Notamacropus eugenii: one gene and its partners. The protein of the gene in region 1 interacts with the protein of each later gene in a biochemical or structural test. Links are inferred from orthologs where the notes say so. Each region holds a gene or a part of one and is shown on either strand. Other genes may lie near its edges.

Region 1 (3,749 bases):
AGCTCTGCATCATGGACTCCCAGAGAAAAAAGGAAAGTGAAGAGGAATCAGAGGAGAAAGTTCCTTGAAATGAAATGTGCCATGGGAAAATCTCCCATAATTATAATGGGCATGATATCATACTTACGATTATGTCACATACACAGTACATCTAGCTCTGGGCAAAGCTGTTGAAGCCAGAGTTTATCTTCAGGTCACACCCCCTATCCCCACCGTCCCCAGTTAGGACCCTCTTCAAAGATGCCCAGTGTCCTTCTGGGGCTGTTTCCCTCTCGCTTTCCACACTTGCTTAACCTCTATGAACTCAGTTTTTTGCCTCAGTGGGCTTATTATGTAGAAAATAGTCTGCAAACTTTATAACACCGTAGAAATTAGTTGTTGCTGCTATGACTGTTATTCTTCACCCCACTCCACCCCTACAAGGAAGAAAGAAAGAAAGAAAGAAAGGAAGAAAGAAAGAAAGAAGGAAAGAAAGAAAAAAAGAAAGAAAAGAAGAAGAAAAGCCTGGCTCTCAGGAAATGTGGTGACATATTTAGCTATGAGTAAATGTCTAGTTAAGGCTTAACATCTTACTCTTAGAAATATCAGGCAAGGAAGAAAGTCTTTAAGTCAGAGGTGTAATGTTGAAATATTTGGAGAGGAGATAGTTTCTCCCTCCCCCCCCCTCCCCGCCACCCCCTCCCGGGTCTTTCCCTGAGGTCCTAAAGAGGATCTTCCACCTGAAGGTATGTTGTCAAACCTGGCATTCTGTTCTCTCCTCCACACACATACAGCCATGCACTGACTTTTCATGGGACACACACCAGGGACACCCAAATCCATGCACATACAACACGTGGGGGCCGTAACAAATAAAAGACTTGTGCCCAAATGGTCACATCACTTGCACCCGTAGTGGGGTGGAGGGTCGGCACCTCCAGAGTAACACCAGGATGGATGGGGAAAGAAGTAACGCCATTTCACAGGTGGCAAACCAGAGAGCCCTGACCAGAGCCCCAGAGCTCGGAGAGGCTGCGGTGGAGCCTGGCTCTCCCAGCTCGGCCTGGATCGCTCAGGCTCAGCCCGCTTTGTTGCCCCAGGACACAGAGCGAGCTAGAATGCGGCCGAAGCGCTCCGGTGGGAGGGAGAGGCCGGGAGCGAAGAGCAGCCGAAAGCCTGACTTGGGGTGGAGTGCGGTGGAGAGGGCCTCCCCCCTCCTCTAGGATGACGGAGATTGGGGAAGGAAGGTGGGGCCGCGGAAGGCCCGCCCGCCAGTCAGGAGGGGTGAGGATAGGAGCCCCAAGGCCTGGGGCTCAGACTATAAGAGTAGCTGGACAGTGACCCATCTCATCCTTAGGCGCCCACTTTTCGTCTTCGCTTTTTTTCTGCCTTCGGTGAGTACTTTCTCTCCCATCGGAACTCTGCCCAGCCCTCCTCCCTTGATGTCCTGGTCTCTCCCTGCCCAGCACGTACCCTATCCTGTCCTCTCGTCGTCCTCTGGGGTAGTCACTGGATTTCAATCCCTCCCTAGTTCGGTCCCTTTGTACTCCAGTGGCTGCTGAGATCTCCCGGGTTGTGGGGTCACATCTCTTTGGGGATAGCTGCCCTGCCTATTGATGCTTCAAGGGCACGGTCGGAGCAGGGGATAGGGTGCCAGGTGTTGGGATGGGCTAGAATTACTCCTGACACTCACTGGATGGGTCAGGACATTCTTCAGGTAAATCCTCGTGTGTAACTTTCTAGTTATGTGTAAGGGTGTGTCTTGCTGGATGAGGAGTGTGTGCTGCGGTGTTACTGTGGGTGTGATTATGATTGCAATGTAATGGTAGAGGAAGGAATAGGACCCTTGGGAGTCAGGAAATCTAGATTTGAGACCTCACTCTACCACTAATTGTGTGACCTTGGAGGAGTTACTGCAGTTTCTCAGTCTGTAAAATGTCAGAATTAGACCCAATGATCTTTAAAGGAAATCTCTAAGGGAAAAATCCCTTTGAGCTTTGATAATCTGGGAGTCTTAAAAGTGTGTGATTCTGTCTGGGTACAGGAAATTGATAGAAGTGTGTGTGGGTAGGCTGTGAATTTGAAATTTCCCAGGTCTGATTCCTTTCTCTTGGACTCACCTAGAACCTGGTCCTGTGGTCAAATCCACACTCCCACTTACTAAGTCCAGGATGAAGGAGCCCAGACTCTTCTCCCTGTCCACCCAATCTGACTTAGGCTCCTGAAAATCTCACCTACCTCCACTATGCCCAGCCCTACTGAATTCTCACCTTCATGACTTTCAACTCCAGAATTGTGGTTTAAAGGTTTGTGTCCTGGGACCGGAAGAAAAAGGCCCATCCCCTTGGCCTGGGTCCTGAGGAACAACAACTCTTTGGTTCCTTCTCCCTCCCCCACCTATTCATCTCTTCCTTTGTGGTTCTCAGCTCCCTCCCGTCTACCTGGCAGCTATGGCCTCCGTGCTGAATGAAGCGATTTGTGCCCTGATCGGCATCTTCCACAAATATTCAAGCAGGGAGGGTAATAAGAACACTCTGAGCAAGAAGGAGCTGAAGGATTTGATCCAGAATGAACTCGGCCTAGGATCTGTTAGTATCTCCCAGCTGGAGGGCAGAACTTTTCTTTTCTTTGCTCCCCTTTCCCTTATAATTGACTAGTCCTGCCTCTGCCCCACCTGGTCTTTTCTCCTTCAGGAACCCATTTAGGGTGGGGTGGGGCTGGGTGGAGGTGGAAGTGTGTGTGTGTGGCGATTACACTTTGTCCTCATTTGTTTCCTGGAGGGGGAGGGAGGAAGATGGAGGATGGGAGAGTAGGTTCTGGAGAATTGAAAGTGGTGGACAATGAATCCCCAGTGCTCTCAGTCATTCCAGATATACCTAAATCTGAGATCCCTGTTCTTTATTTTCTCAGTTAAGAAGTAGTAGGATAAGGGACAAAGTAAAAGAAAGAGCCTGGGATTTAAAAAAAAAAACAAGAAATGGATGGAATGGGGAATGTCCCGGATGAGAGAGCAGAATAAAGCCATGCTACAACTGGGAGCAATGTCTCCTGTTTCGAAGGCTGTGAGGGTGAGGGTGGGGGTGGGGGTTAAGTTGGGGGTAGTAGTGGAGGGAGGCTAACAGTGGAAGGGAAAAGGAGATCCCTTTAATAGATTTTGGATTTCCCACTCTGCCATATTAGAAAATGGAAGATGCAGATATTGCAGAACTGATGAACGGTCTGGACCAGAACCAAGATCAGGAAGTGAACTTCCAGGAGTATATCTCCTTCCTGGGAGCCTTGGCCATGGTCTACAATGAACTACTGAAGGGAGAATAAATAGACTTTGGAGAGGGAAACTTGGGGGGGGGGTGTGCTCCCCCTGCAGCCCCTTGATGGCCTGCCACAGCAATGGGTACATGGTGGGTGTTTTGTATATGAAATAAAGTCTGGAACTGTGTTTTGGTCTCTATGATTCTTGATTCCTCACTTGGTTGCAGTTTGTTTTCTAGTCTCTTTACCTTTAACTCTGTATTCCTTCCTTTTTTTTGTTTTTTGTTTTGAGGCAATAGGGTTAAGCGACTTGCCCAGGGTCACATAGCCAGTAAGTGTCTGAGGTCACATTTGAACTCTTGACTCCAGGGCTGGTGTTCTATCCATTGTACCATCTAACTTACCCCTTCCCCTGCTCCTTTTGAATTCTACCCATTTTTCTTGGCTTCTGTACTGTTAGAAGGGCTCCTCAGAGTGGGTCACTATTGCAATGTAGCTGAACCTTGTAGGAGGGGACC
Region 2 (3,749 bases), about 120 Mb from region 1:
CGGAGTCACCTGCAGAACCCCGTGGGGCGAGCAGGGAGCCGGGCCGACGGCGGCCTTCTACCCAAGGGTGACCCCGGCCCCAGCTTCTCCGGAAAGAGGAAGGGGGCGGCGGGGGGAGGGTCTGCAGCAGGGAGCGAGGGCTAAGGACCAAGGGGGCGGTGGAAGCTCCTCCATTATGAGCTCAGGACCCCGCCCCCGGTGACCCCCAGCGCCCGGTGACCCCCGGCCCCGCTCCCCACACACGGCTCCCCGCCGGCGGTCCCGGCCCGCGGCTGTCTCCTCCACAGGGCCCCAGGCTCCGAGGGATCCCAGGAGCGGAGCTCCAGCTCGGGGGCCGCGCGAACTGGGGCGCCAAGGCCCCGGCGAGGCAGCCCTCGCCCAGCCCCGGCCCGGCCGCCTCACCTTAATCCTATTGAGGACCCCGCTGTTCTCCAGCGTCTGCACCAGCAGGTCTCTCAGCTCCGTATCCTCCTCCGCCGCCGCCGCCACCACCGCCGCTGCGGCCGCCGTCGCAGCAGCCATTTTGTTTCTCCAAGACAACCGCCCAAACTGCGCTAACGGCCCAACGGCCGCCGCAGATTCGACACGGGGAGGCGGGAGGGGAAGACGCTGGACGGCCCTCGGCCCCGCCCCCGAGATGCCGCGACGCGCCTCTCTCGCTGTCGCTCACGTCGCCCGGTGACCCGGGCGGGGCGGGGCGGACCTCCAGGCTGGGGGTCGGTGCGGAATGTGCGGACCGGAATTAGACCGACCCCGTCACCCCCCGTAAGGGGAGGCGGGAGGTTTAAAGAAGGTGGCGGGAGGGGCCGGAGGAGGCGGCGAAGCGCTCGCAGCGCATCGCGCAGGCGCAAGGCAGGAGGCGCTGAATGGTCCCGGGACCTGCTAGCACGAGGGAAAGAACACCTGCGGGCAGCCTCGAAGTCTCCCCGGGCCTGCTCCCTGCCCATGCTCCCCCGCTCCTTGTGGTGCGCATGCGTCAGTTCGACTTCGCTGGTGTTCGGTTTCATGCCATCTCTTCCCGTCTCCCCTAGAAGATTCTAAGTTCACTTTCATTTTTCGCCTGGTTTTGTTTTTTACTTTAATTTAGTAATTAACAAGGTGCCTTAAATGCCACGTCACCTACTTTAGGTCATTTGATAAATGAATTCTGGAGAAGTTATATCAAAATTTTGTTTTCTAGTTCATGTATTTGTAAGGGAATATTTGTTATTTCACTGGTTTTTTTTTCTTTAAAATGTTTTCTTAAAGTCTCGTGAGCTTCATTTTTCAGGCAAGGTTTGGAAGAATAAAACATAGCTTGCTAGGAATCTCCCACGAAAACACAAGTTGCAGAGGTCTCGAGTGCCGGTTAACTCCCAAACGTTAGAATAATAGGACTGTAGGTCTGTAGAGTTAGAGGGGACTTATAAACCATCTAGTCCAACCTTCTCATTTTAGCAATCTTAGGATTTAGAGCTATAAAGAATCTTCGAGATAGTTTCAGATTTTTTGGTCTCAGGACCCCTTGGTACTATTAAAAACTATTAAATTGTAATCATTATGATACATAATTTTAATTAGGTATAAATTAAGTACAACAAAGATACGTATAATATATAAAATATACCTAAGTATGTGTACAAATTATAACATACTATATTAGATACAATATATACCATATTAGATATTTACTATATTAGATATAATTTGTGTAAGTTAGCTGTGTACAATAGACGATAAATTATGTAATTATATAAAATGCATGATTTATAGATACAAAATTATTTCAGATCATGAATCATATATAACAAAATTATATATAAATTATGCAAGATTTCTATATGGTTATATATAATACATTTTAATACACAATCATATTTTTATATATTTATATTATATATAAATTGTGTGTAAAATTATGGGTATGTATATATGTAAACTTATAATGTGTAAATATACACTATATACTACATATACAATAAGATTATATATGTAATATGTGATTATATAAATTATAATTATGTAAATTATGAAGAGATTTTGTTTACCTGGATTCTCTCTCATTGGTGGGGGCAGTCAGGTGTGGAAGTGGAAGTGGAAGACTCCCCTTTGTGAGTTCAAATCCAGCCCCAGACAGTTGTCTGACCCTGGTCAAGTCACTTCAGTTTGCCTCAGTTCCCTTATCTGTAAAAATGAGCTAAAGAAGGAGATGGCCAGCCACTTTATTATCTCTGCCAAGAAAAAAACCAAATGGGGCCACCAAGAGTCAGACTCGACTGAACAACAAGATCTCTAAGAGTATCGTAGTAGAAATAAGAAATGTCTTAGATCGTTATTAAAATAATGTTGACATGATGGATCTCCTGAAAGGGTCTGGGGATCCTTTCCAGGTTTCACTTTGTTTTGAACACACGATGACATCCCTGTCCGGTCCGCCCACAGGGCAGGGCTTGCCGTTTGTCACACATGGAGTGCCATCTCCAGTCTCCACTTCTTTGTCCCAGCCGTCCCCCAGTCCTGGAATGGCTTCCCTTTCAACCTCTACCCATGAGAGCCCCTAAGCTTTCTTTGGTGCCCCTCCTCCTCCACATGGTCTTTCCAGTAGCCGGCCCAGCTCTCCCCCTCCCCCACCCTCCATCCCCGTGCCAGTGCGTTCCCCTTTTAAGGCGACCTCCTGCTTCTCTGTATTTGGGGAGACCTGAGTTCAGAGCGGGCCTCAGGCAATTACTAGAGGTGTGACCCTGGGCAAGTCGCTTAACCTCCGTCTGCCTCTGTTTCCTCGTCTGTAAAATGGGCATAACAATGCCGCCCGTCCCTAATGAGAGGCAGCTCATCGTTCCCTCCGCCTCTCCCCGCCCCCCCCACCCCCAAAAGCGCGTGCTGGCCGCGGGCCGAGCCCCAAAGAGGGGTTGGGGGGTGAGGAGAGCGAACGTCTCGCTCCAGCGCCGGGAGGCCTCTCGGTCGGGGGGTGAGCGGCCGCGTCCCGAGCGCGCGCCGGGGCCTCCAGCCGGCCGGCTCCGCAGACACTGCCTTCCTAGCTCCCCGAGGGCGCGCCGGGGCCTGGAAGTCCGAGCGTTGGGGAGAGGGTGGGACCGTGGGGCCGGGACTGGGGAGCGCACAGCAGGGGGTTCAAATGTCTGCCAGCAGAAGCCTGGGGTTCTCTCCGCTCCGGAGCCAGGACAACGCCGCGCGACCGGAGCGAAGAGAACTTGGAAACGGAGAAAACGGCCGAGAGCGGAGAGCCCGGCCGGAAGTGATGGCCCTCCGCCCGTACGGGGACTTCCTCCTGTCCCGGACCTAAGGACGACGCTGCCCGGGGCAGTGCCCATCGGTGGCAGCGCCCCCTGCGGGACAGTGACTGACCGCGGGAGATCACCGCAGCCCTGCTTCAGCCACGACCTATGACTTCCCCAGACCATCCAGCGCAGCTCCCACAAAGCCGCATTGCGGGAGCTTGCGTTTGGCGCTTATTTCTCGCGTGTTGAATTGAAAATAGTTATAAATGTCCAAAAAAAGCCCGAGGAGACAGTAAGTGTGAAGCCCCTGGCACGCTGTGCGCACCCTGTAGACCTCAGTGATCGGGGGGTGGCCGGCGCCACTTTCTAGCCCTGTTTCTCCGCCGTCGCCCTTTCTTTGTATTCCCAGCGCCTGGCACAGGGCAGCTACCTAACCCGTGCCCACCGTCTGCTGCTCATTCGGACTGTTGTCCGTGGGGTTGAGCCCCTCGAATGATCATTTGTATGGCGGCCCGAGCGCGGGGAGAAGAGGTC
Region 3 (3,749 bases), about 94 Mb from region 1:
GTCCGTGTACTAACTGCTTTCCTACTGCCTTAAAAAGCTCTCACTAGGTTTACACATCCCCACCTGCCATTATAGCCTATCTGTTCTTCCCTTTTCCCGCCAGACTCCTAGAGAAGACTCTCCACCATCAGTGTGTCTCCTTTCCTTTTTTCTCATTCTCTTAACGCTATAATTTTGACTTCTGACCTCATTCAACTGAAACTGGTCTTTCCAAAATGTAATAGCCTCGTCTCAATCCTCATCTTTCTTGACCTCTTTTCCTACACTGTTGATAATCTTCTTGATGCTTTATTTTCTCTAGTTTTGTGACACTTTCCTAGTTCTCCTACTTATCTCCTCCTCAGTCTTCATTCAGGCCTCATCTGATAACTTGAGACTGATTCTCTTTTCTTCCTCCAAACTATTTTATTTGGTGATCCCATTAGCTTCTATGGATTTAATTGTCGTCTCTGCTGATTCTCATATCAACTTGTCCAGCCCCCTGCTGACCACAGCCATGTGTCTTCAGTTTACTCTGTGTATATCTTGTTTTTTACATATTGTCTCCCTCATTAGGCTGAGAGCCCCTTTTTGTACCCGTCTCTTATCTCTGTTCTTGGCATATAGTAGGTACTTAATAAATACCAGTTGACTGACTTATGCATTTTGAACTGGATGTCCCATAAACATATTAAACTCAATTAAACCCATTGCATTTCTCCAAACACTTCCCTTTCTTGAACTTCCTTATTACTGTGTAGAATACTACTTATCAGTCACCTAAACTGATAACCTACGTGTCATCCTAGATCCCTGCATATTCAGTCTGTTAGCTTTATAACATCTTTTGTGTATTCCTTCTTCCCTCTTGGCTTTGCCCTCACCCTGATGCAGGCCCCTATCATCTCCTGCCTGTACATTGCAATAGCCTCTTCTTTAGTCTCCTTGCCACAGGCCTCCCCACTCCAGTCTGTCCTTCACCTAGCTGTCAGAATAACCTTCCAAAAGCAGGAGTCTGACATTGTCTACATCTCCTACCACCATGACCCTCCTTCAGCAAACTCCAGCGGCTCCCTGTCACTTCCAGGATCACCTCCTCTACTTGGCCTTCAAAGCCTTTCATATTCTGCCTGGTGACACTGACCTTCTTGGTATTCATCCCACAAGTTAATCCATCTTCCAATTTTGAGCATTCTCATACTGGTATTCTCCCCCTCCTCATGTCTGCTGGGCTTTCCTAAAGTTCCAACTCAAATTCCATCTTCTACAAGAAGCATTTTTTGATCCCCTTTAATGCTGGTGGTTTCTGTTGATTATCTGCTCTGTTGATTATCTCCATGTTACCCTGGGGAGTGTGCATGTTTGTGGTTTGTATGTAATGTTTGCATGTTGTTTTTCCCTTTAAACTGAGTTCCTTGAGAGCAGGTGATGTTTTGTCATTCTCTGTAACCACAGCGTTTGTTACCGCGTTGACTGACTTGACTGGAAAAGGAGCAGTCAGATGAGAGGAGAACCAGGAGAGAAAAGTGTCACAGAAACAAAGAAGGGAAAAGGCATTCAGAAGAAGGTAGTTAATGATCCAGTGCTGCAGCGAGGCCAAGGAGGATGAGGATTGAAAAGAGGCCATTACGTTTGGTTATTTGCCAATAGATGTGGTGATTAGTAGATCATTAGTCACTTTGGAGAGAACAATTGCAGTTGAGTGAGGTTGGAAGCCATTTTGCGGGCAGTCAAGAAGAAAGTAAGAGGAAAGGAAATGGAGCCAGGAAATAGTTGGTATTTTCAAGGATTTTGACAGAAAAAGTGGGGGAGAAATACAGGATAATAGTTAACTGGGCATGGTAGGATTAATTGGGAGTTTCTGCCCAGCATAGGGGAGACTTGCATATGTTTGTAGCAGGAGAGAAGGAACTTATAAGAGGGAGGAGAAAGTGAAGGTCTTAGAGGTAGGGATGATAGTGGAAGTACTGTGCTAGAGAAGATGGAGAGGGGTTGGCCTTGATGAGAAAGGGAATCTGCATCAGGAAGAAATTGTAAGGGATGATAACAGGGGGTTGTATGATGAGGAGAAGGGAGTCTGTGTTGCATAGCTCTGTTAGTTTGGGTTTTTTAATAAAGTATGAGAAGATCTCAGATTGGAGAGGAGGGTACAATAAGAGGATATGTACGTGTTCACATAACATTTGTGAGCTAGAAAACCATTAGGGACAGAATTATAGGAGGTTGCCTGGGGGAAGTGGCTTTAAAAGATTATTTAAGAATGAAAACTAGATATGGAGGGCCTGACAGTGCTGCTATTTGGGAAAGGATATATACCGATTACATTCTTCCAATATCATACTATATAATGCTTCCTCTACCATGGAATTTTGAGATGCTGGCCACAGCTACAATTTTGTGCACTGTGTGAATGACTTCTACAAGCATCCTTGCTGTGATGGCTTTTGATAAGAAATCAGTCATTTAAAAAAAGTGTCAAAATTTTGATTTTTATTAAGATACTCTTCAAAAGGCAAAATATTTGTCTGTTTAGGAAAATTGGTAAATTTTTGTGTTCATTCTAGCTGAATACTATAGGAGAATAAAAGACTCATTTTTTTTATTGTAAATGTTTCAGTACAGTCTCAATTTTATTTTCCATAAAAATATTGTGATAGAAATGGTAGCTTTGAACTAAAATATCCTTTTCTGTTTTATATCAAGCTAGATATGAATACCATTATGCCAATGCATTTGTGCAGCTAAGTTAGAAAAAACAATTGTATAAATTTCTTTGCTGTGCTTTGATTATGTATTTTTAAAAATATTTTAAATAAGGCATTTTTAAGTGGTCATGATTCAAGTACCATTCTGTCTGCTTGAGCCTCAGTCTTTATTTTAGCAGCTGTCCACATACAAATCATTGAGTGCTTTTTGCTGTTAGACACATTTTTTTTTTTAAGCCAGGAATTCCATTAAAATACTTGTTCTACCATCAAGGTAGACTCTTAAACTGAGATAACTCATACTTAGGCTATTATGTGTGAAAGAAAACAGAAACATATATTATTTTTTAATTTACTTTTTTTTAAAATGCCTTATAGTCATCCATTAATTATTCAAAAATGGGATTTTGGTGGGTGGAGAATCATTTGTAGCCTTTCCCCTCTCTCTTCCTCTTCCCTCATTTCCTCCCTTTCCCCCCAATTTTTTTTCCTCTAAATCTCAGGCTCCTGGTAGTACAGCTAGACTAGAAAGGAGTTAGGGGAGGGCAAAGATAGACACGTCTCTGGGAGTTTCCATAAAATACAAAGTAAACATTAAGAATTTTTTAATCATCTCTGCATCTGCTCCCCCAAACAGAGCTAAATGCATTGAGTTTTAGGAAATATCCCAGTAAAGTTGAGTTAGTAGAAAGAGAACTGGAATGGTAGGGGTGTTAGTTAAATCTGCTTTGCTTCACGTACTTAAAGAAATGTTTGTTCTATGAGCAGCAACACCATATGAGTGATGCCATTGCTGTTGAAGCCATTAAAGTACATCATTGACTTCCAAAGAGTAGCACTGGTGTCACGTTGTATTAAGTGCACTCAAAGACATCATAGATTTGCTGATACCACAGGAACAACATTTTTCAGTATAGAAAAATCCTGAGGTATAGAAAAGTCAGATCTCCAACCAAAAATTTTGGTACGTAGTTACAGCATAGTAAAATAAGTTGAACAAAATTAAGGCTGGGGATTTGGGGGGATTGTAGTCCCACTTCATAGGATCATAGATCCAGAGGGATC

What was found.
Region 2: the proteins of S100A6 (region 1) and CEP43 form a complex in vitro, tested with the Homo sapiens proteins (2 studies listed by BioGRID and IntAct, with this or other methods). The link is inferred for Notamacropus eugenii from reciprocal best matches to the Homo sapiens genes S100A6 and CEP43.
Region 3: the proteins of S100A6 (region 1) and CACYBP are reported together in a solved structure, tested with the Homo sapiens proteins (2 studies listed by BioGRID and IntAct, with this or other methods). The link is inferred for Notamacropus eugenii from reciprocal best matches to the Homo sapiens genes S100A6 and CACYBP.

The regions. Positions count from the first base shown.
Region 1 is NC_092873.1:377,509,365-377,513,113, reverse strand, and holds S100A6 (protein S100-A6), read left to right. Parts: upstream 1-1,206; 5' UTR 1,207-1,373; intron 1,374-2,405; 5' UTR 2,406-2,429; coding exon 2,430-2,567; intron 2,568-3,159; coding exon 3,160-3,297; 3' UTR 3,298-3,418; downstream 3,419-3,749. UniProt on the Homo sapiens protein: May function as calcium sensor and modulator, contributing to cellular calcium signaling.
Region 2 is NC_092873.1:262,045,687-262,049,435, reverse strand, and holds the start of CEP43 (centrosomal protein 43), read right to left. Parts: upstream 2,115-3,749; 5' UTR 2,028-2,114; intron 1,385-2,027; 5' UTR 523-1,384; coding exon 403-522; intron 1-402. UniProt on the Homo sapiens protein: Required for anchoring microtubules to the centrosomes. Required for ciliation.
Region 3 is NC_092873.1:471,566,754-471,570,502, reverse strand, and holds the start of CACYBP (calcyclin-binding protein), read left to right. Parts: upstream 1-1,465; 5' UTR 1,466-1,480; coding exon 1,481-1,546; intron 1,547-3,749. UniProt on the Homo sapiens protein: May be involved in calcium-dependent ubiquitination and subsequent proteasomal degradation of target proteins. Probably serves as a molecular bridge in ubiquitin E3 complexes. Participates in the ubiquitin-mediated degradation of beta-catenin (CTNNB1).